Linked DNA regions of Alligator mississippiensis. The protein of the gene in region 1 interacts with the protein of each later gene in a biochemical or structural test. Links are inferred from orthologs where the notes say so. Each region holds a gene or a part of one and is shown on either strand. Other genes may lie near its edges.

Evidence for each region. The genes of interacting proteins can lie anywhere in the genome.
Region 2: the proteins of RXFP3 (region 1) and RLN3 form a complex in vitro, tested with the Homo sapiens proteins (2 studies listed by BioGRID, with this or other methods). The link is inferred for Alligator mississippiensis from reciprocal best matches to the Homo sapiens genes RXFP3 and RLN3.

What each region holds. Positions count from the first base shown.
Region 1 is NC_081826.1:280,366,661-280,378,131, reverse strand, and holds RXFP3 (relaxin-3 receptor 1), read left to right. Parts: upstream 1-6,276; 5' UTR 6,277-6,924; coding exon 6,925-8,178; 3' UTR 8,179-9,882; downstream 9,883-11,471. UniProt on the Homo sapiens protein: Receptor for RNL3/relaxin-3. Binding of the ligand inhibit cAMP accumulation.
Region 2 is NC_081831.1:23,289,342-23,298,409, forward strand, and holds RLN3 (relaxin-3), read left to right. Parts: upstream 1-6,483; 5' UTR 6,484-6,585; coding exon 6,586-6,745; intron 6,746-7,743; coding exon 7,744-7,976; 3' UTR 7,977-8,027; downstream 8,028-9,068. UniProt on the Homo sapiens protein: May play a role in neuropeptide signaling processes. Ligand for LGR7, RXFP3 and RXFP4.

The DNA of each region.
Region 1 (11,471 bases):
AAATGGGAAAGTAAAGAACCAAATAGACATGAGAGGCCAGACTCTATTTCTATTAGGCATGTAAGTGGACTTAAATGTCTAAGTGCAATTTTATTTTACCCTGCTTTAGCACCTGAAAAAACTATTAACACAAAAGGTGTATAGGTCCTCTTCTTCCTCCTCCTCACTGCTTTGTGACTCAATCTTATGAGTAAGATGGAAGCATGTAACTATTCTCCAACTATTTGGGTTGGTCTAATAAAAGATATCAGATTCACCCAAGGAACCTTGTCTGCCTATGTCCTTAGACCCAACACGGCTACAACCTAAACCCCTGTAACAAAGTAGATACACTTATGGATTTTCAGGAATTTGAACATATGGAATAGAATTGCACTTAGATGCCTATGTCCATTTAGACATATGACAGGTAGAATACAATCTGGCATAAATAAATGGTAAAGAAATCTCAAATGCAAGTATTATTTATAAAGCAAAATTCTGTGGATAAAATAAAACTTTAGTCAAATGGGCAGAACTCCATATACACATATGGATACAGATTGGTAGACAGATATCATTCTTTGTTAACAAAATCTGTTCAAGACTTTTTACTTTAAAACATATTTTATGCTACAAAATGTCAGTTGTATAGAAAATAGAATCATTTCCCTTGCCAAAGAAATTCAAAATTGCTAACATCTGTTTCGGTCACTATTGTAACTGTAATTAATGCCTCATCTTTGGAGGAGGTCTTAAAAGGATGAGGAAAATGGTAGTAATTCTTCAGAGCAAATAGCATGAAAAAACATTTCTGTATAATGATCATTATTTGAAGCATATTTGAAAGGGTATTTTTAAACACTGTCAGGCAAAAATCATCCCAGATCCAATACCCTGAAAAATCCTTGCAAGAAGGTTGATATGCACCCCTCAGCCAGTCTAAACAATCCCCTTTTGTCCCTTTGACCCAGTCAGAGACTCCCCACACTAACACTAACTCTAAAATATCCCCAGTGAGGCAGGCTGCCTGCTTAAGATCCATAACTCAGTGTCTACAGACCCATTCCCAGGCCTCCACAGGCAACATCTGTCTTAACTGTCACCAATTCCATAGTTTTCTTGGGCAAGTTGGATTCCCATTTCAGCTACCAGGTGCATAGGTCTCTAAAGCACTGCATCACTGCTCAGGGCTGAGAGTCCAGGAGAAAGGGCTCCACCCCAAAGTAGCATCTGTATGCTTCCTCTGTGAGCCCCACTTGATCTAAAGCTACAGATTTGAGGGTGTCATAGGTACACGCAAGCCCAGTAGGCTGCATGACTTTCCCCAGTCAGGTAAGGCACCAGCATGCAGATCACTGCTCCCAGAACCACTGATATGTCCTAGCCACCCACTCAAAAATCTCCAAAAATGCTTTGGGCTCATCATCAGGTCTCATTTTGGTAAATGTTCCACCCCTCCCATCTGGGTTACAGAAGCTACACACACCTGAGCGTGGGGCTTTCCTTGTTTCAGCAATTTCAGCATGAAGTGTTGCTGCTCCTTTTGCCACTTTTGACAAAACTGCTGCTGAATCTGGAGATGCTGCAACAGCTGCTGTTGTTGCTGAAATGCTGATCACTGCTGCTGATGCAACCCCTCCATCAGTGTCAGCCCAGCCTTGGGGTCCATTCTGCAGGCTCAGAGCTAAGGGCTGCCCACTTTCCACCCCCTGTTTATGCAGGTTGGTGTGCCTGCTCCTGTGCCAGCAGGCATTGTCCCCTTAGCAACCCCTCCATCAGTCCAAAGAATACCCTTGATCCAAAAAAACAAACAAGCAAAGCAAAATATTTATCTTTTCTCCGGGCAGCAGGAGAGGGCTCTTTTGGCTCTGGCCCTTCCTAAAAGCTTCTCTAGGTTTCAGTCTACCTCCCAACCACAGACTGCTCTTTCCTTGGCTCTTCTCACTCCTCTTGAGCTGCCAGCTAAGCACTCACACTTGGGCTCCTACCCCAGCACTTGCTGCCCCACTTAAAGGGCCAGATTGCCCTACTACAGTCCTGTATTGCATTACTACACGTGGAGAGTAACAAAGGCTACCATTTTTAACACAAAAGTATAAATAATAAATATTAGATTAATTTTGCTAGAGATTTTCAACTAAGTTTGATGACTTTTAATTTTTTCCCCCAACTAAAGAGATGGGCTGATTATGCGCTGAATAAATTATAGAACAAATATATGCAGGGGTTTAGGTTGTAGCCGTGTTGGTCTAAGGATATAGGCAGACAAGGTTCCTTGGGTGAATTTGATATCTTTTATTAGACCAACCTAAATGGTTGGAGAATAGTTATTAAGCAAGCTTTCGGGTTCAAAAACCCTTCGTCAGGCTAAGGAAGCTGCAGCAGTTTGTGTGTGCTCTTCCTGGATGGAATGCCATGGATGGAACAAATATATGTCTTTTATAATTCAACCAAGGATAGTGAGTTCCTTCAGCTATCTCTAAAATGATTCTTTGAGGTAAAAAGATACAAAACTAGAAGGCAGAAGCATCCAAAACTAAAAGGAAGTCTGTTTGGGTGAAAAGAGCTATACAAATCCTGTGCAACTGCTTCTATCCTTTCATGCAGATTTCCCAGCAAAGCTGCCAAGGAATGTTTCAGCTCATAATCAGCTGAATCTTGTTTGACTGGTTAGCATGATGAAGAGGTATATCTTTCTCATTAGTGACTTTCCTGCCCCGCTGTTCCATGTCTCCTCTCCTCTTTGTACTAAAGCTTCATTACTATTTCGTCTGTGCAAAGTACCAACCAAATGTCCTGGCCAGGAAGATACTGGAGTGGCCAAAAACTAATTTCCTACAAGGCCATCTTTCCATTTAAATTATATAAAAATAAGGTTTTTAGAAAGCCTGTGCACTCAGAATAGGAAAGAAAGGAATCAGCAGGGGACATGGTGAAACATTCTCTTTTGCATATCACGTCCGGCTAGCTGCTGCACAAGGTTGCATTTTCACTGCGTTTGAAAGGAAGCTGATTGACAAAATATACACCACCCCTTGAGTGCTACTTCTAGGGTAATAGTGGGAAGATTAACTAGAAAGAAAATTCAACCACCCTGAAGGAACACAAAAGATATGCCACTATTTCTTATACTAGAGAAGCAAAAGTATCCTTCACTTCCTGACCTCAACTGCTATACAATTTTGTTTTGCAGCACTGTTAACATGTCTACTAGATTTCACCCTAGAACTAACTGTGGTAAAGATGATCTAAGAAGCATTTTGAACTCTTCTGAATAAAAGAGGAAAATTACATTTTTAAAAATGACAGGTATTACCTGTATCTGTCCAATTCAGCACTCTTGATCATGGAAAGGAAGAAGTAAAAAAAAGTATTTCTTCACCTGTCGTGTCTTTAGCTGGTGAAATTCTCTATTCCAAGAGGTCATAAACTCCAGCACCGTGGGTGGATTTAAAAAGCCATAGGACAATTCTGTGATCACTGATATCTTTCCAATGTGAAGTCTGAGTAATGAAGCCAAATGATCATGTCTGACAATATCAGAATAGTTCCACAGATGTCAGGAAGTAATTTTCCCCACTATATAAAAGTGCAAGATAGACCAAGGGCCAGATCCTAAAAAAACAGCTGAAATGCCTGAATGAGGATCTAGACAGACTGCAAGCACATAAATCCCAAACTGTCCCTCCATCCTCCTCACAGTCACTCAGTAGCTACATAACACTAGAGAGGCATTGAATTTACTAAGTACTTCTTAATCTCAAAATTGCTGAATGTTTTTAGGGCTTTGCTGTGTGCCACTGTGGAGCAGAAAATGTGAGAATTATGAAGCTGGAAGACAACACTTGGTTAGAACACGACGTGGTGGGGGCGGGGAGGGGCGGTCCCAGGTTGTAGCTCTATTGGTCTAGAGGCAAAAGGAACCAAGACTCGTGGCAGAGGCGATATCTTTTATTAGACCAACTAGATATTATAAAAAAAAAAAGTCTTTATTTGCAAGCTTTCAGGCACAGGTACCCTTCATCAGCCCTAGGAGACTGCAAAGATCGTAAAAGTTCTCCTAGGTAGAAATGTAAATTCATATTTCACAGGAGAGCTGAGGGTGTGGTAACGTCTCCTGTTTGGAACAGTGCATTTTGTATGGATCAGGCTCAGAGAAAAGTTGGAAAAGTCTTGTTACCTTGACGTTGGGGTCCAGTCCCTGTTCACAGAACTATTTATACATTTTACATTACACTGTTATTTGATAAAAACAAGCAATTCTGAAAGCGGACACCAGAACCCAGAATTCCCATCACCTCCCTGAGTGCCCCAACCATGGTGCCACAGAGTCATGGGCCCTTCTGTTTCCCCTCCTTCCAGCTTCATGAATTCTGTATTCTTTAAAAGGAGAAGAAGCTTCCTCTTCCTCCCCAGCCTCACTTACAGCTTGAGGCTTGCGGGGCTCTCATGGGAGATGAAGGTTTGAATTCCCTCCGGCTAATGAAGGAACTGGATCCAGCTCACTCAATTCATGGGCAAATGTTTAAATTGCTGCCCTCTTATACATACAATGGGGAGGAGGCACCAGTGGCCATGTTTTAGAACAAACTCGGGTCAGTTCTTTCAAACAACCCTTTCATAGGTGTCCAGAGCATGGGCCTAACAGATGGATCCTGATTGCACAGAGGCCGCTGTTCTGCACATAAAAGCACATAAGCAGATGGCTCTTGTGCAGGGCCAAGTGTAATCTCTGGGCTTCTCATAAGTGCCTGTGTACTAGTCCTAAAAAGGCAAGGGATGAGAGCACGTGCCCTGTTGTATACATGTGTGCACCTGCAAACTCTTCAAAAACAGTTAGTACCAGGTCCCCTGACCTCCTCTTGGACATTGATTAAGCAGCTGATATCTTACAAATAGCCCCAGAGATGAAAGCCGTAATAAGGTAGGAAAGAGCGCGCCAGGAGCAAGGAGCAAAGCGCAACATAGCCTGGAAGAGGGTGAGCTGTGTTTGAGTTTTCCAGCATCACAAACTAAGCTGCCAATGTTGTTATCTTCCAGGATCAATATTATTCTTGATGATTTAAGAAATGGAAAGACCAGAGCTGGGTGTTCCAGGTGAAGACTGCAGTGCTAGCAGGCAGGGAAGGAAACAGAAAAACTGAAAAATTGAAATGAAAAGGAAGATTGCTATACCGGGTCCTGCCTTCGCTTAAGCTCTCCCCACTTTCCTCTGCTCTTCCCAGAGACTGCAAACAAGGAGAAGGGTCTGAGTTCAAGGGGTCTCCATCACATGCACACTTCTTATCTTAGCAACTCTTAGTGCCTGTAAGATGAGTTGCCTGTAGGTGCTGGCTTCTTTTTAGATATGTTTTACCTCCTATTTTCTCCTGAAACACCAGAGCCCTCTGGCGGAGGACATCAGAGTACTCATAGGAGATCTTATCCAGTGAAGGATGCTGGAAGTTAATGGCACATAGAGGTTAATGGCTGGGAGGCAGGTGGTGACCCGAACCGGGCCCCCAAACCCCTGCTGGTTCCCTGCTATAATCCTCTATTTCATTTTTTCTACCTTACAAGCAGCGAGTGTCTCAAGTGCCTTTTTTACTGTTTTGCTTCCACATGATTCATTCTAAAATCAGAGGTACTGGAGTTAAGCTTTATAGCTACTTGATGTCAGCCTCTGGTCTGAGGCTGGTTATCTTTCACTGGAGAAAAGTGTTCACAAAGAAAGGGAGTGGGAAAGACAGGGCGGAGGACGCGGGGCCGTCCTGCAGCAGGGAGCAGGGCTCCGCGTGCTGGGACCCGGACGAGAGTCCAAAATCCGAGCAAGACTCTTTGCCACGCAGCCCGACCCCAAAACACCTCCGGAACCGTGAGGGGCTGGTGGGCAACAGCCTGAGACACAGCACAGCTCGGGGAGCTCCCTCGCACCCCACTGGGGACCGAGTCGGCTAGACCAGCGGGCGAGCCACGAAGCACTCGGGCGCTGACAGCAGACGGGGCCGAGGGCAGCCGGGCGGCGGGGCGGGCAGAGACGCGGGCTGGCAGCCCACGGGATGGTGAGGCAGCGCTGCCAACGCGCCTCCTCCTCCCCCTCCTCCTCCTCCTCCTCCGGGCTTTCCAGCGCAGCAGCGCGGGGGAGCGGCAGCCAGGACGGGCAGGGCGAGCCGGTGCCCGCTGCCCCCCGCAGCTTCCAGGCGCTTTAAAAGCGCGGGGCGGAGAGAGGCGCGGGAGCTGCCGGGGGCTGCGCTGCGCCGCGCCGCGCCTGGGCTGAGCCTCGCAGGCAGCGCCTCAGACGGGGCGGGCGCGCGGAGCCACAGCCGGGCCGCAGCGCCGCGCTCAGCACCGCGGAGAGCTCCCGCGGCACCGCCGGGCCCTGGGGCTGCACCGCCGCGCACCGGCACACCGCGGCGGCACCGCCGGGCCCTGGGGCTGCATCGACGGGCACCGGCACACCGCGGCGGCACCGCCGGGCCCCTGGGGCTGCACCGCCGCGCACCGGCACACCGCGGCGGCACCGCCGGGCCCTGGGGCTGCACCGCCGCGCACCGGCACACCGCGGCGGCACCGCCGGGCCCCTGGGGCTGCACCGCCGCGCACCGGCACACCGCGGCGGCACCGCCGGGCCCTGGGGCTGCATCGACGGGCACCGGCACACCGCGGCGGCACCGCCGGGCCCCTGGGGCTGCATCGCCGGGCACCGGTACATCGGGGCTACATCGCCGGGCACCGGCACATCGAGAGCTGCCTCCCCAGGCACCGGTGTCGGCATCGACGGGCACTGGGACACCGGGGGCTGCATCGGCGGACGACCCGGGCCAGCCGCAGCCAGCGCCGGAGCCCCGCGGAGCGAGGGACGCGGCTGCACCGGCCCGGCTCCGCAGCGCGCCTCCGCCGCCGGGACTGGGCGCGGCCCGGGGGCAGGGGCGGCTGCAGCGGGCGCGGCCCCCCGACCATGGGATGGCGGCCGGCTGCGAGCTCGGCTTGTGCTCGCTGGCGGGCGGCGTGACGGGCGCGGCGGAGGGCGGCTGGGCCGGCGGCAACCGGAGCAACGAGTCGCTGGAGGCGGAGGCGGGCGCGGGGCTGCAGGGGGGCGGCTCGGCCGCCGTGCGCCTGGCCGTGTCGGCCGTGTACTCCGTGGTGTGCGCGCTGGGGCTGGTGGGCAACGCGCTGGTGCTGCACCTGATGCGCGGCAAGCGGGGCTGGCGCAAGTCCTCCATGAACCTCTTCGTCACCAGCCTGGCCGCCACCGACCTGCAGTTCGTGCTGACGCTGCCCTTCTGGGCCGTGGAGAACGCGCTGGACTTCACCTGGCTCTTCGGGCGCGTCATGTGCAAGGTGGTGTCATATGTGACGGCCATGAACATGTACGCCAGCGTCTTCTTCCTCACCGCCATGAGCGTGGCCCGCTACCGCACCGTGGCATCGGTGCTCAAGAGCCAGCCCAGGGGCGGCTGTGGCTGCGGCTGCGGCGCCCGCGGGCTCTGTGCCCTCATCTGGGCTCTGGCCGTGGTGGCCGCGCTGCCTCACGCCATTTTCTCCACCACTGCCAACGTCTTCGGCGAGGAGCTCTGCCTGCTGCGCTTCCCCGACAGCCCCAGCGCGCGCGTGCAGCTCTGGCTGGGGCTCTACCAGGTGCAGAAGGTGCTGCTGGGCTTCGTGGTGCCTCTGGGCGTGATCAGCCTGTGCTACGCGCGCCTGGTGCGCTTCCTCCGTGGCCGCCACGCAAGCCAGCGCCGCTCAGCCAAGGTGACGCGCTCGGTGAGCGTGGTGGTGCTCAGCTTCTTCGTGTGCTGGCTGCCCAACCAGGCGCTCACGGCCTGGGGTGTCCTGGTCAAGCTGAACGCCGTGCCCTTTGGGCCTGCCTACTTCCTGTCGCAGGCCTACCTCTTCCCCGTCAGCGTGTGCCTGGCGCACTGCAACAGCTGCCTCAACCCCGTGCTCTACTGCCTCATGCGGCGCGAGTTTCGCCAGGCCCTCAAGAGCCTGCTGTGGCGCCTCGCCTCACCCTCGCTCACCTCCATGCGCCCCTTCACCCTCAGCACCAAGCCCGAGCCTGACGAGCAGGCCCTGCCTGCCCTGGTGCCCCTGCCTGCTGCTGCTCCACTGCCTGCCACCACCCCATCTGAGCTGCTCTACTACCCGCCTGGCGTGGTGGTCTACAGCGGCCGTTGCGACCTGCTGCCTGCTGGCCCCAGTGAGCAGCGCTGCTGAGCGCCCACCCCGATGGCTGTGACTGTGGGGTGGGATGTCTGGGCACAAAGGCAAGCCCTGCAGCGTTCCTTGGACCTGGCCTCCACCCCACAGGCCTCAGGGACTGGGCTGAGGCCCTTTGAGGTACAGGGGTGTTGCCCCTGGCTGGACAGTGCTGAGGGGCCAGGATAAGGTGGCAGGGAGCTCCCACAGCATCAGCTTCAGTGCCAGGCTTCCCTGAGGAGCCACTTTGCACAGCTGTGGTGGGCCCTACATGCCCAGGGGGCTTGGAGAGGGAAGTTGGGCACCTGAGGGGAAAAAGCAAAGCCTGAGACCATACTGCATCGCTTGTGTCTGATCCTGATCCCCCACCCATAGCTGCTGCAGGGCAGGAGGAAGCTGAGGCACTGGCTCAAGCCCGCAGGCTGGGGGTGCAGAACCTCCTGCTGCAGCCAGGTTTTGTCTTTACACACTTGTGTCTGGGCTAGAGGCTTCATCCTCGCTGTGGTTCATGCTGGCCAGTGATTCCCAGAGTTGGAAACAATGATCTGGACGCTCTGCAGAGGTTTGTTCCAGGGCAAATGTCTGCCACGAACATTTGAGTTCAGCCAAGAACAGGCTGCACAGTCTGCATTCTCCAAAAACATGTTTGCCAGGTGTCTACCCTGCCCTTTACTGCCATGTCAGTATTGTGCCAGCCAGCTAAGCTAAAAGAGAAGCAGGAAACTCAGGGTAGATCCTGCATGTGACATTTATTCCTGTCAGATACAAGAACAATAGATTTTCTCGCTTCAGTTGCCAGAGCAAAACACTGGGGAAAATTTATTTCAGACTGACCGTTTCACAGATTTGAAATAAAAACTGTCATTTAGCCATTATTTCATGCTTTTTTTTTTTCTTTTTTTAAACTTTGTTTAGGTTGATATGGAAAGAAAAATGTAAGTTTGCAATGAAATACCACAATAGCTCTTTACATGTCTCATTTTGACATTTTTTAGTGAATTTCTTCCCTTTTCTCAGCCAAAACCATTACTTGAATTCAAAACAAGTTTATGAATAGTTTTGGTCACCTCCAAACTGCAGTTTTTGTTTAACATTTGGCAGAGAGAGAGAGAGAGAGGTAGTTAACAGTATTATGAGTTTTTCTCAGTTATGCTGAAAAGGGTTTGTGTGACTATAGGCTGAGAGCTGGCTTTCTGCAGCGGAGTGATTTCCACTTCCATGCACAGCGATAGAGTAGAGCCTGAGACTTTCTGTTTTTGCCTCGGCCAACCTTGTACTGACTTCAGTGGGAGTTGTGGTTTCCAGGGGGCTGGACAAAAAGAGAGTAAAATCCAAGGAGGTGGAATTAAGACTTGCTCCTCTGCCCAGGAGCTACAAACTTGAATAAATAAATAAAACAGTGGAGATGAGGGATCCTTACAGTCCTTGTCACTGCCTTACTAGAAGGACTTAGAGCTTCCTAAAGACTCTGAAGGTCTCTGAGTAGGGATATGTATCAAATTATACATACAGAGCAAACATGGAATATTGACCCATAATAGATGACAAATCACAAACTGAAAACTAAATCAGATATGAAATTCATTTCTTTATGACCGAAGACAGTTGATGAAACTTGTTTTTTTCTGTGCGAGAAAAATTAAGAGATAATGTGACAAGTGGCAATAGCTCTTCAGAGTAAAAAAAATAGACCAAATAAATAAACAGGACCGCTGAGCGCTCCTCGCTTTTGTATACGCAGTTTTCAATTATGACTGCCCGCTGTTTTTCAAAGGGACCCCCGCTTCATTTAGTGCTTAAGATGGATGATGCAAAACAAATGGATTGATTGTTTAGTATTTATCTTTATCTTCACTGCTCAATGGCTGGCTCTATTGCATTTTTCACCACATACCATCTAACTCCATATCGAACAAACCTGGGACCTGGAGAAAACAGCTCTTCTTTATATTCATGGCACAAGGCTGCTCAGATAGTATATATGAGAATTGAGAAAAATTATACTTTCATTTGAAGCTGTATCATAGATTGGAGATAAGTAAATTGGTAACAATTTACATTTAGCAACAATTAGCTCAGCATTACAGACATGGGAAAGATATACAGATAAAAATGTTAACAATCCTTTGTTAGTCAAAAACAGTAGACTTTGTGTACTTGTGTAGATTTTGAAATTTACTTTGAAAAGTCTGTAAAAATGGTATGTTTATCTTCTCAGCTCAGCTTTCTCGTATATGGTCATATAGAGAGAGAATCATAAACACTTAGATTAATGGTGCAACTATATTTTTGCCCCTTTCCTTTTCTCCTCAAACTAAAGATGAAGCTCAGAGAGACTCAAAGGAATTTTATTCCTCCTGCTGTATCATAAAGAGAATTATTTACTACGCTCCAATCAGACATGCCTGTGCAAACCCAGTGATAGCAATTAGGCTGCGCAGTTGTCAGCACGCTCCTGATCTGAAGACAATCATGATTCCATAGCACTAACAGACTAATTTCACCTGCTGAGCTTGCCTAGTTGATGATGAAGTATGAAAAAAAAAGAACGGAGTTTGTACCCCGAGCTTTAAGGGACACAAATGTATGAATTGATGTATCCAAAACACTTCTAGGAATCTGACTAACGTTGCTATGAAATTATTGAAACACAAACATGTAATTACTATGCTTTTTTTTTTTTTACAGACACCCCTCTCAAAGGAGAAGCAGTGTAGTAAGGTATTGCCTGTGGACAACTAAACAACACATCCTTGCTAACTCTTATGATTTTATGACAAGTCTCACAATATATGGTGCTTTTCTTAAAGTTTCAGCTCCTAGAGTCAAGTGATTCGGAGAGAATCAGCTTGCATTTAAAACTAAACCAATTAGGCTTGAATCATGATTTCTGAAGGCTAGGGGCTAGCACTGTTGTGAATATTTTGCTTAAATTCCACAGAGACCTAATCCTGCAGCAAGTTCCTTGTGGCCACGCACACACGGAGGTAAATCACGATTCCTAAGCCACTATTGCTTCTATGTCATGTAGGGTTCAGGGTTCTTGGTTCAGCCATATGGGGCTGTTTGCAAGAGTGTTGCCTTACTTCTATACTTGTAATATTCATCTATTAACACTAGATCCATAGCTTGACACTGGCTGGAATGGATAGGAAGAAGGAGTCTGAGAGCTGGTAGCTGTAAATGTGCTACTGGGCTGATACATAGGTCTGGGCTGTGTGTGGCCCTGCAGGTGGCTTTGGCAAATGTGTCTGCAAACATCTCCCCAAGCTATACATGGACTATAAACATACCTTAATCAGAGATCAGCA
Region 2 (9,068 bases), on another chromosome or scaffold:
AGGGTGGTTCTTAGTGCCCCATTCCCCCCAGCACCCCCGCCATTTTGTATCTGGGGGTAGAACTAAAGTAGGACCCACCTTACTGGTCCCTCCCGTGGCCCGGGCCAGGAGCCCCGCGGAGGATCCGACGCGGCGGGTCGGGTCGAGCGCCTCGGCCCGCGGGTGCTGGCGGGGTCCCGAGGAGTCGCTGGCGGGGCGGGGGGAGGTGGAGGCGCGGGGGGGGGGCCGCTCGGGGCGGTTGTTGTTATTGTTGCCGGGTTTCCTGGTCGCCACGACTACCGTGGCTATGGCGCCCTCCGTGTTCCCTCACCGGGGCAACTGTTGCTACCCACCTCGGCTACGGGCGGGGCTGGAAGGAAGGGGGAGAAAGGGAGGCCCTCACCACCCCAGGCGCCGATTGGCCAAGGTGGGCGCCACCATTGGTGGTTCCTCTTGCTTATCTCTGAGTTCCCCGAGCCGATTGGCTCGAGGCCCCGCTACTCAGTGCCCGCCCCGCCCTCCGTGCTGATCGCGAGCAGTCGCTTGCGTGGGGCGGGCGCCGATTGGCTCTTCGCCGCGTCTGTCGACGTGCCCTTCGTCTGTCTCGTGGATGGGGGCGGGGTTTGGAAAGACGGAGGTGGATTGGGCCAGCATGGAGTTGGCGGGCTGAGAATGGCTTTGGGCACTGTCAGTCAGCTGAAGGAGGCTGGGGGAGGCATATTAACCTCGCCCCAGTGTGGGAGGAGGTGCGCATGCTCCACCGGCTTTGTGGGCTTCTGGGAATTGTAGTCTCAAAAGCTTTCTCTTCCTCTCTTGTCCTTCTTCTCCCCCCCTCCCGCCCCCCGCACCGGTCCTAGTAGCTGGATGGTCCTGTGCCCCCCTACGTCACTGTGTGTCCTATTACATTACTAGCTTGGGTAGCATGTGTTTATGACACTTTGTGAAACTGTGATGTCATAAAGTCGCCAAGCAGGCAAGGTTCTTTGGGTGAATCTGATATCTTTTATTAGACCAATTTATAGTTGGAAAACAATTATTGAGCAAGCTTTTGGGTTCAAAAACCCTTCATCAGGCTAAGGGTCCTTAGCCTGACGAAGGGTTTTTGAACCCAAAAGCTTGCTCAATAATTGTTTTCCAACTATTTAAGTTGGTCTAATAAAATATATCAGATTCACCCAAAGAACCTTGTCTGCCTATATCCTTAGACCAATAGGGCTACAACCTACACCCCTATAAAGTGCCATGTAGAAAACATTGGTGAATGTGCCACCAGGCATGTTTTATGACATCACTGTGAGGTCAATGGGGTTGCAAGTGTGATTGCTGCTGCCGTGTGATTATGTGTGTGGCATATTTGCTAGTCTGCCAGGTTCTTGGGATCTTGTATGCTGGCATCATGAGAATGTGGCACCTAGTGACCTCACGGTCGTGTGACATCATCAGCAGGGTCCCAGTGGCTTAGTGGTGACCCCACTCAGCTATGTGATCCATCTCCCCAGGGCAGATGGCCAGGAAGGTTTCTGAGCTGTCAAGAGTTCACAGCACAGGAAAGGTCAGGATCCCTGGCCCAGTTCCATGCAGCTCTGAGTTGGCCAGTGACATTCTGCTTCCTTTCCACCTGGCTCCCAAACCTCAGCTCCTTCCTTGGAGTGTCCTGTGCACACTAGAGTGACAGAGTAATGGACCGGGTGTATCTAGTGATCCATCTGCTATTCCAGCCTGACTTTCCTTTGATCCTATGAACCTGCTAACAAGTCTCTCAGGTTAACAATGTGCTGCATGGAGAGGAAAAAAAGAAGCCCTTGTTCTTAGTTTTAAACCAGTCTCCTGCTCACGTCGGTGGTGTACCTTAATTCTAGTTTCTTGGGACTTGGTGAATACCAGCTCCCTGTTCACTTGGTCCATGCCCTTCATGACTTTATAGACCTCTATCAACTTCCCCATCATTGGCCTTCTCCTTTCCTAACTAAAGACTCAGCCTTTTAGTCTCTCCTGGCTTGGCAATGGCTCCAGCCCCCTGATCATTGTGGTTGCCTTTCTCTCAACTTTGTCTAATTCTCTGACCTCCTACCCTGAGATGTGGGGATCCAAGCTGCCCTCAGGGATTTGAGTTGTGGGTGCCCCATGAATTTGTATGATGCCACAATGATGTTCTCTGTTTTCAGTTCTCTTTTTAGCAATGCCTGACATTTTACGGTTGGGGGGGAGTTGATCTCTCTTATTGGCCCAACTGCGTGGGTGAGGTGGATATTAGCCAGTGGTCAGAGATCACAGTCCCCTTCCTCAGGCCTCTGGGGTAGAGTTAAATAGCAGAGGGAACAAAAGCTCATGTAAAACTCCATCTCTCCAATATTTTATTGGCTCTTTTGGTTGATGCTGCACATCGTGTTGATGGTTTTTAGAGAACTGTCTATGACTTCAAGGTCTCCAAGTCATAACAGCTCAATCAGAAGTGACGAAAACAGTCTTCAAGGTTGTGATATAGGAGCTGTGTATGACCAGGAGCCATGAACAGAGAGCAGAACTTCAGAAGAAAGGGTCTTCATTAGGGGAACATGAAGACCATTAAAAAAAAGGAGAGAGGGTCATTAACACCTGTGGAGTGATGAGTGTAGCAGGAACTAGGGAGACAATAAGAGCCCTGAAGTCAATGGATTCCCCCGTTGCTGTCTCAATAGGAATGTTACTGCTGTCACAGCCAGGCAGTTGGTTTTAAACTTTGTGGGGAGCAGGAATCAAAGGTTAGGGGGCTCTAGAGAAGAGAATGTGGATCAATAGCTTGAAGTTGCAGCAAAGTAGGCTTAGGGTGGATCTTAGGAAAAGCTTCTTCATGGCTAGAGCAGGAGGTCTGTGGAGTAGATTCCCAGGGAAGCTGTACTCTCTCCATTATTAGAGGGTTTAGGAGAGGCTGGACAGCCACTGGTCAGGGATGATCTAGGCCTAGCCATGCCAGTGTTTTACTATGGGGGTTTTCCAGGCTTCTGGGCTTTGTTGGACTGGCTCATAGCTCACAGTGTACTCCCAATGAAGGCATGGAGGCACAGAGTGAGACAAGAGTTTAGACCCAGCTGTCCCAGGGAAAGCTGCCAAGGTGTGAATGAGACCATGGACCACCTTTTTTGGCTCTGTGGAAAAAGGTAAACCGGCTCCTGGAGGAAGTGACAGGAGTCATGCTGATGACAAGGGATGTGGCGCTATATGGATACCTGACTAAACATCAGGGGTCCCAGATAACCTGCTTCGACCTGTTTGAGTCCTGCATCAGGAGTGCCCTGTGGCAATGCAGGAACCTCCTGATGTACAGTCACATTAAGCTTGAGCAAACAGACTATGTTAAAATGTTTCTGAGTGAACTCCAGCCCTATTACTGGAAAATGGTGGGAGAGGACACAGCCAACTCTGTCTGGAAAAGGGACATGTGGCACAGGCTGTTCAAAGCCCCCCCGAGAAGGGCAGAGGACAGGGAGAATGAAGAGGACAATGACACAACTGGACCTGAAGATAGCGAGGAGGACAACAGGATCAGCAGCAGTGGAAGTAACAGTGACATCAACAGCAACAAGGACTATGAATGAACTGAGAAGGGAAATCCCAAATCAGGGCTGGGACTAAGAGACTGTGTTTGGGTTAGGGAAGGGCAGAGGGTAGGTGTGCGGGGGGCGCAGGGGAACAGGTGTGGTTATTGTACCAGGTGCATGGGCTTATTAAGGTGGTTTGGAAAAGAAAAGGTGCAGTGGAAGTCTATGACAGAGGATGTGTGTATATACATATACCTAATATATTTTAATTAAAAAAAAAATAATTCTGGGCTTTGTTGATTTGCCGTGTGGGGCTGGCTGGGAGGGAATTCTACCTTCCTGCCCCCCTGCTTCCTGCTACTGATGTCAGGGTATTTTTAAGTTTCTCTTGGAGGCATTGAGTGTTGGCTGCAGCCCAGGCTGGAGAAGGTGACTGGGCTGTGCCAGTGCTCCTGCTGGGACTCAACCTAGAGACTCCTGGCTAGAGGGTCTTGCCCCTCCATTCAGGCTCAGACCAATGCCACATTGGGGTCAGGAAGGAATTTCCCACCCTGGGTAGATTGGTACAGGCTGGTGCAGGGAGGTGCCTTCCTCTGTAGTGGGGCACAGTCTCTGCCTGGGGTCTCTTGAATGTGTATTAACAGCTTTTGCCGAAGCAGGACGTTGGCCACCATGATTCCTTGGCTTTCCCTGTGGAGGTTCAGGTGCAATGTTGTGTGAGGGTTGATGGTAGGTTTGCTCAGAGGTTAAACAATGGATTTGTCTAGGATGGTTTGGACAGGGCTGATCCTCCCTCAGGCAGGGGGTTTGACTGGATGCAATCTCTGGAGGTCCTTTTCAGCCCCATGACTCTAGAATTCGATGATTGCACCACCCTGCATCTGCCCCATTCATGGCTGATAGATTTATTAGCGTCTGTTGAACAGAACAGTTGGAGATGTTTCTTCTGGTGTTCCTATCCTAATAAATGGCAGATGATGGGAGGGTATTGACTAGAGGATGGATCACTCTGGACATCCCCAGTTCAATGCTCTCTGTCTATAGCATCCATCACTGCCACTGTCGGAGACAGGATACTGGGCTAAATGGACCATGGGTCTGCCCCATTCTGGTCCTTCCTATGTTCATGTGTCCAGTCTGTCTCCAGGAAGTTAAAGCCAGCAATGTTTGAAGAACTAGCAGCTGCCTCTGATCCCTGCAGAGCCTACAGAGTCCCAGCAGCCCCCAAATACTCCCATCCCACTGCCCTGTCCCTCATCTTTCCCCAAACCTGTCACCCACAGTCTATCCTAGTGAGGGACACTGGTCAGAAGTGCTGGTTCCCAGTCTCTCCCAGCGAAGGGCACTGGGAAGAAGCACTAGTTTGGGGGGGGGGGGGGGAGAGCTTGCCCACACCTGATGCTACTCCCCTCCCCCCAACCAAACACACACACCCAATCTCTGCAGCAGCCCCAGCCTCCAGGCTCTTATGATGATGGGCATGAATAATTCTCCTCATGGAAGGACCTGGACCCCCCTCCTCTCCAGAAGACTGATCTCTGGGCCAAGGTGGAAGCTTGGGTTTCATCGGCTGTTTGCCCCCGCTCCAGTGGGGTTATCTCTCTGCAGCAAGCTATGGCCTGGCCTTTGCGAGGCCTTATCGGGGAGGAAGGCAAGAGTGTTGTGGAATGAGATAAGGAAAGTTCAGCCAGCTGTGGGTTCTGGCGGGATGTGAGAGCAGTGAGTCGGGAGTGGAGGATGCTCATGGGTGGGGTACCTCAGTGCCCAAACTAGCACTTCTGCCCAGTGCCCTTTTTACTGGGAGAGACTGGGAACCAGTGCTTCTGCCCAGTGCCCCTTCCTGGGAGAAACTGGGATCCCCCCAAGCCAGGGCTTCTGCCCAGGGCCCCTTACTGGGAGAGATTGGGAGCATGTTTGTTACTAAGTGCAGGGATTTTCTGTGTGTGTGTGTGTGTGTGTGTGTGTGTGTGTGTGTGTGTGTGCATGTGCATGCATGTGCACACAAGTGCCTAGGGTGACACATGTGGCAGAAGTATGTGTGTGTGTGTGTGTGTGTGTGGGCAAGGTATCTGTGAAGGGAGGCAGTTCACCCATGGCAAGCAGTGTGCAAGTTTGTATGGGAGTGGGTAGGCCGGGGCTGTCGGTGTGTTGGCATGGTGGAGAGAACACATGTGTGGAAAGCATGTGGGGTGCGTGTGTTGGGGGAGAGAGAGTGAAACTGGTGAAGAAGAGCATATGTATGTGTGTGTGTGTGTGTAGGAGGGACCAGAAGTGCAGTGAAGAAGAGTGGACACGTGGGTGTGTGTGTGTGTGGGGGGGGGACCAGAAGTGTGGTGAAGGACGATGCACACGTGTGAGGGGGAACAGAAGTGCTGTAAAGGACAGCATGTGTGTGTGTGGGGGGGACCAGAACTATGGTGAAGAAGATCATGCGTGTGTGTGTGTGTGTGTGTGTGTGTGTGTGTGTGTGTGTGTGTTGGCTTGGGGACCAAGAGAGTACATGTGCATATGTTTGCGTGAGGGGACCAGACATGCAGTAAAGGAGAGCTCACATGTGGGAGGGAAAGACCAGAAATGAACTGAAGGTGAGCTCGCATGCATGAATGTGTGTGTGTGTGTGTGTGTGTGTGTGTGTGTGTGTGTGTGTGTGTGTGTAGGGGGGACCAGAGGCACAGTGAAGAACAGTGCACATGCATATGTGTACAGGGGACCCAGCACTCCCATGCAGAAGAAGTTACATGCCAGGAGTCCCATGTGTGGACACACGTGTACATCCGAGACCCAGCTCATGTACACGAGTCCCCAAGGCCCCGTGTGAAGCCAGGAGGCAGTGGGCACCGACAGGGGCGGGGGGGAGTGATGGAGCAGGTGGGGGCTGAGAGAGGCCAGGGGGGGATCAGGTGTGACTCATGCCTCGCATGCAAAGGTTATCTGCTTCTCTCTCCAGCTCTCAAACTGGCTCTGGCTCCGGCCCCCACAACCCATCTCCCCAGGGTGGGGGTGGGGGGTGGGGGGGGGCCCTGTGTAGACTATTTAGGCCCCACAGCCGTGCCAGGAGGCTGCTCTGGGCTCCGCGCTCTATCCAGCCATGCAGAAGTTGCTGGCAGTGCTGGTGCTTGGGACTCTGCTCGTGACACCCAAGCTGGAGGCTGAGGCCCGGGGTCCCCCCTATGGTGTCAAGCTTTGTGGCCGTGAGTTCATCCGTGCCGTCATCTTCACCTGTGGTGGATCCCGCTGGCGGCGGGCAGGTGAGTGGGGGCCCGGACTCCTGGGTTCTGTTGCTGGAGCGGGCAGGGGGGAGTGAGCCGAGTTTCCTGGGTTCCATCCCCAGCTCTAGGAACGGAGAGGGATGCAGGGATATGAGACTCCTGGGTTCCATATCCAGCTCTAGAGAGCAGTGGGGGCTAGTGGTTGGAGCAAGGCAGGAGGCTGGGAGCCAGCACTCCTGGATTAATTTCCCTGCCCTGCTCTTGACTTGCAGGGTGACTTTTAATGAGTCGCTGTCTTTTCCTATCCTCAGCCTTCCTGCCTGGGAAATGGGTGCAAGGTGTGGGGGAGGCAGGGGCCCCAGGAAGAACTGGAATCAGGCCCAGGGGTCTAGGGAGGGGGCAGTGGGTCAGGATGGCACCATCTTGGGTCTGACAGTGCCCAGTACCACTCACCAGGGGAAAGTGAATGGAATGTACGTGTTGTCATGGAGACTGGGAGCCAGGACTCTTGGGTTCTCTCAGCTCCGGGAAGCGTGTTGGGAGAGGAAACTGGTGGCCGGAGCAGGGGTGAGGGAGCACTGGGAGCCAGGCAGGGGGCTCTGTGCAGCTGCTGGCTGCCATTGGGGCTGTTCACCCATGGGTCCTAGGCTTTGTATGGCTCATAGCACAGAGGTGATCCCTCTCCCAGCTCATTCATGGGTCCTAAGCCCTATATTGGTTACAACACAAAGGTGTTTCCCCCTCCCATAGCTCATCCATGGGTCCTGAGTCCTGTATCGTTCATAGCACACTGCCCAGCTCTTCCATGGGTCTTAAATCCTATATCACTCATAGCACAAGGGTGATTCCCTGCCCCCACCCCCCATTGACTCATTCATGCGTCCTGAGCCCTATATTGCTCACAACACAAGGGCAATTCTGACCACCCCCTCCTGCCCCACAGCTCCAGCAGCAGGGCAGCATGCTGGCAGGGCAGAAAGAAGCTCCATTGCGGGCCGGATTAACCCTTTGCGCTTCCCTCTCCACTCTCTTCTTAGGGGACCCTGATGCCCTGAACGGCCTCCTGGGAGGGGACGAGTCGTCGGAGGCAGCTGGCTCCAGCGAGTGGGATCCTGGGAGGCTCCCGGAGCGGTGGCAGGGTCGGGGCAGCCGGGGGGGGCTGGATGAGAGTTGGGCCCCACCCCGGGGTCCCCGCGATGTTGTCACTGGGCTCAGTGCTGCCTGCTGCCGCTGGGGCTGTAGCAAGAGCGAGATCAGCTCCCTCTGCTAGAGCAGGGGAGCTGAGGGGTCCTCACTGGGGCAGCTGTGCTGTAAACAGACTCCAATAAAGCATCAGACAAAGCCCATGTTGGAAGCTGGACTCGGACCTGGGTGATATCGGACTACCCCACCCCCACAGCACCCACTGCTGGCCAAGGCTGGTGCAGTAGGGGCTGGGGATTGCCCCAGTCTGGGCTTTCTTGCCTCTCTGTGCAAAAGCACCCCTCTGACTATGTCTGGTTATTGCCCCAGCCCCCTCCCCCCCTCCATGGCTGGGGGTTGCCTCATCCTTGACCTTTCCTGCCTCCTACATAGGAAGGGGGGGCAGGGGACAGTGGGTGTTGCCCTGGGGAGGCAGCCTGGTGGGGCTGATAAGGACACAGCCCATTCACAGGTTGGTTGGGTGACCTCCGCTAACCCCTCCATAGCCAGGGCGGAACCCGGGACTCCCTAGCTCCAGCCCCTCCCCCTCCCTCAGGGACCCCAGGAGTCCTGGCCCCTGCCCCACCCCACCCCACATTGCCTGTGGAACCCCAGAGTGCTGGACTCTGGGCACATCTGCTTCCTGCCCCCTTGTGGCCATTAGTCTCCATGTCCCTGCCCAAGCAAGGGAGAGAATCCAGGTGTCCTGTCCCTGGCATGGGGTGCAGTGGGGGGAGGGACACTGAGGTAGTGCGGTGTCCAGACACCTGGGTTCCTTTCCCACTGCTGAGGAAGGCTGGTGGGTTAGGGGAGGGGAGGAGGAGGGAGTAGGGTTCTCTGCCTAGCTCTTGGAAATACCTAGTGGTTAGAGCAAGAAGTGGCTGGCAAGCCCCAACTCCTGGGTTCTGCTTCCACCCTGGGGTGAAGAGGAGTAGCCAGATGCCTGGGTCGGCTCCACCCCTGCAACGCGGGGCCCCGCAGGAGCAGGGCGAGGGTCATGGGTGACTCACTTCTCCCACGAGGCTGCCAGGCATTGGGCCACCCGTTCCCAGCAGGGAGGAGGCAGCCTGAGCCCCAGGCACTGGGCAGGGGGGAGGGGGAGAGCTGGGGTGTGGGGCAGGGTGGTGTATATGCATGAGTGTGCACATCCTGTACAGCCCCCACAGCCCTGCGCTTCCTG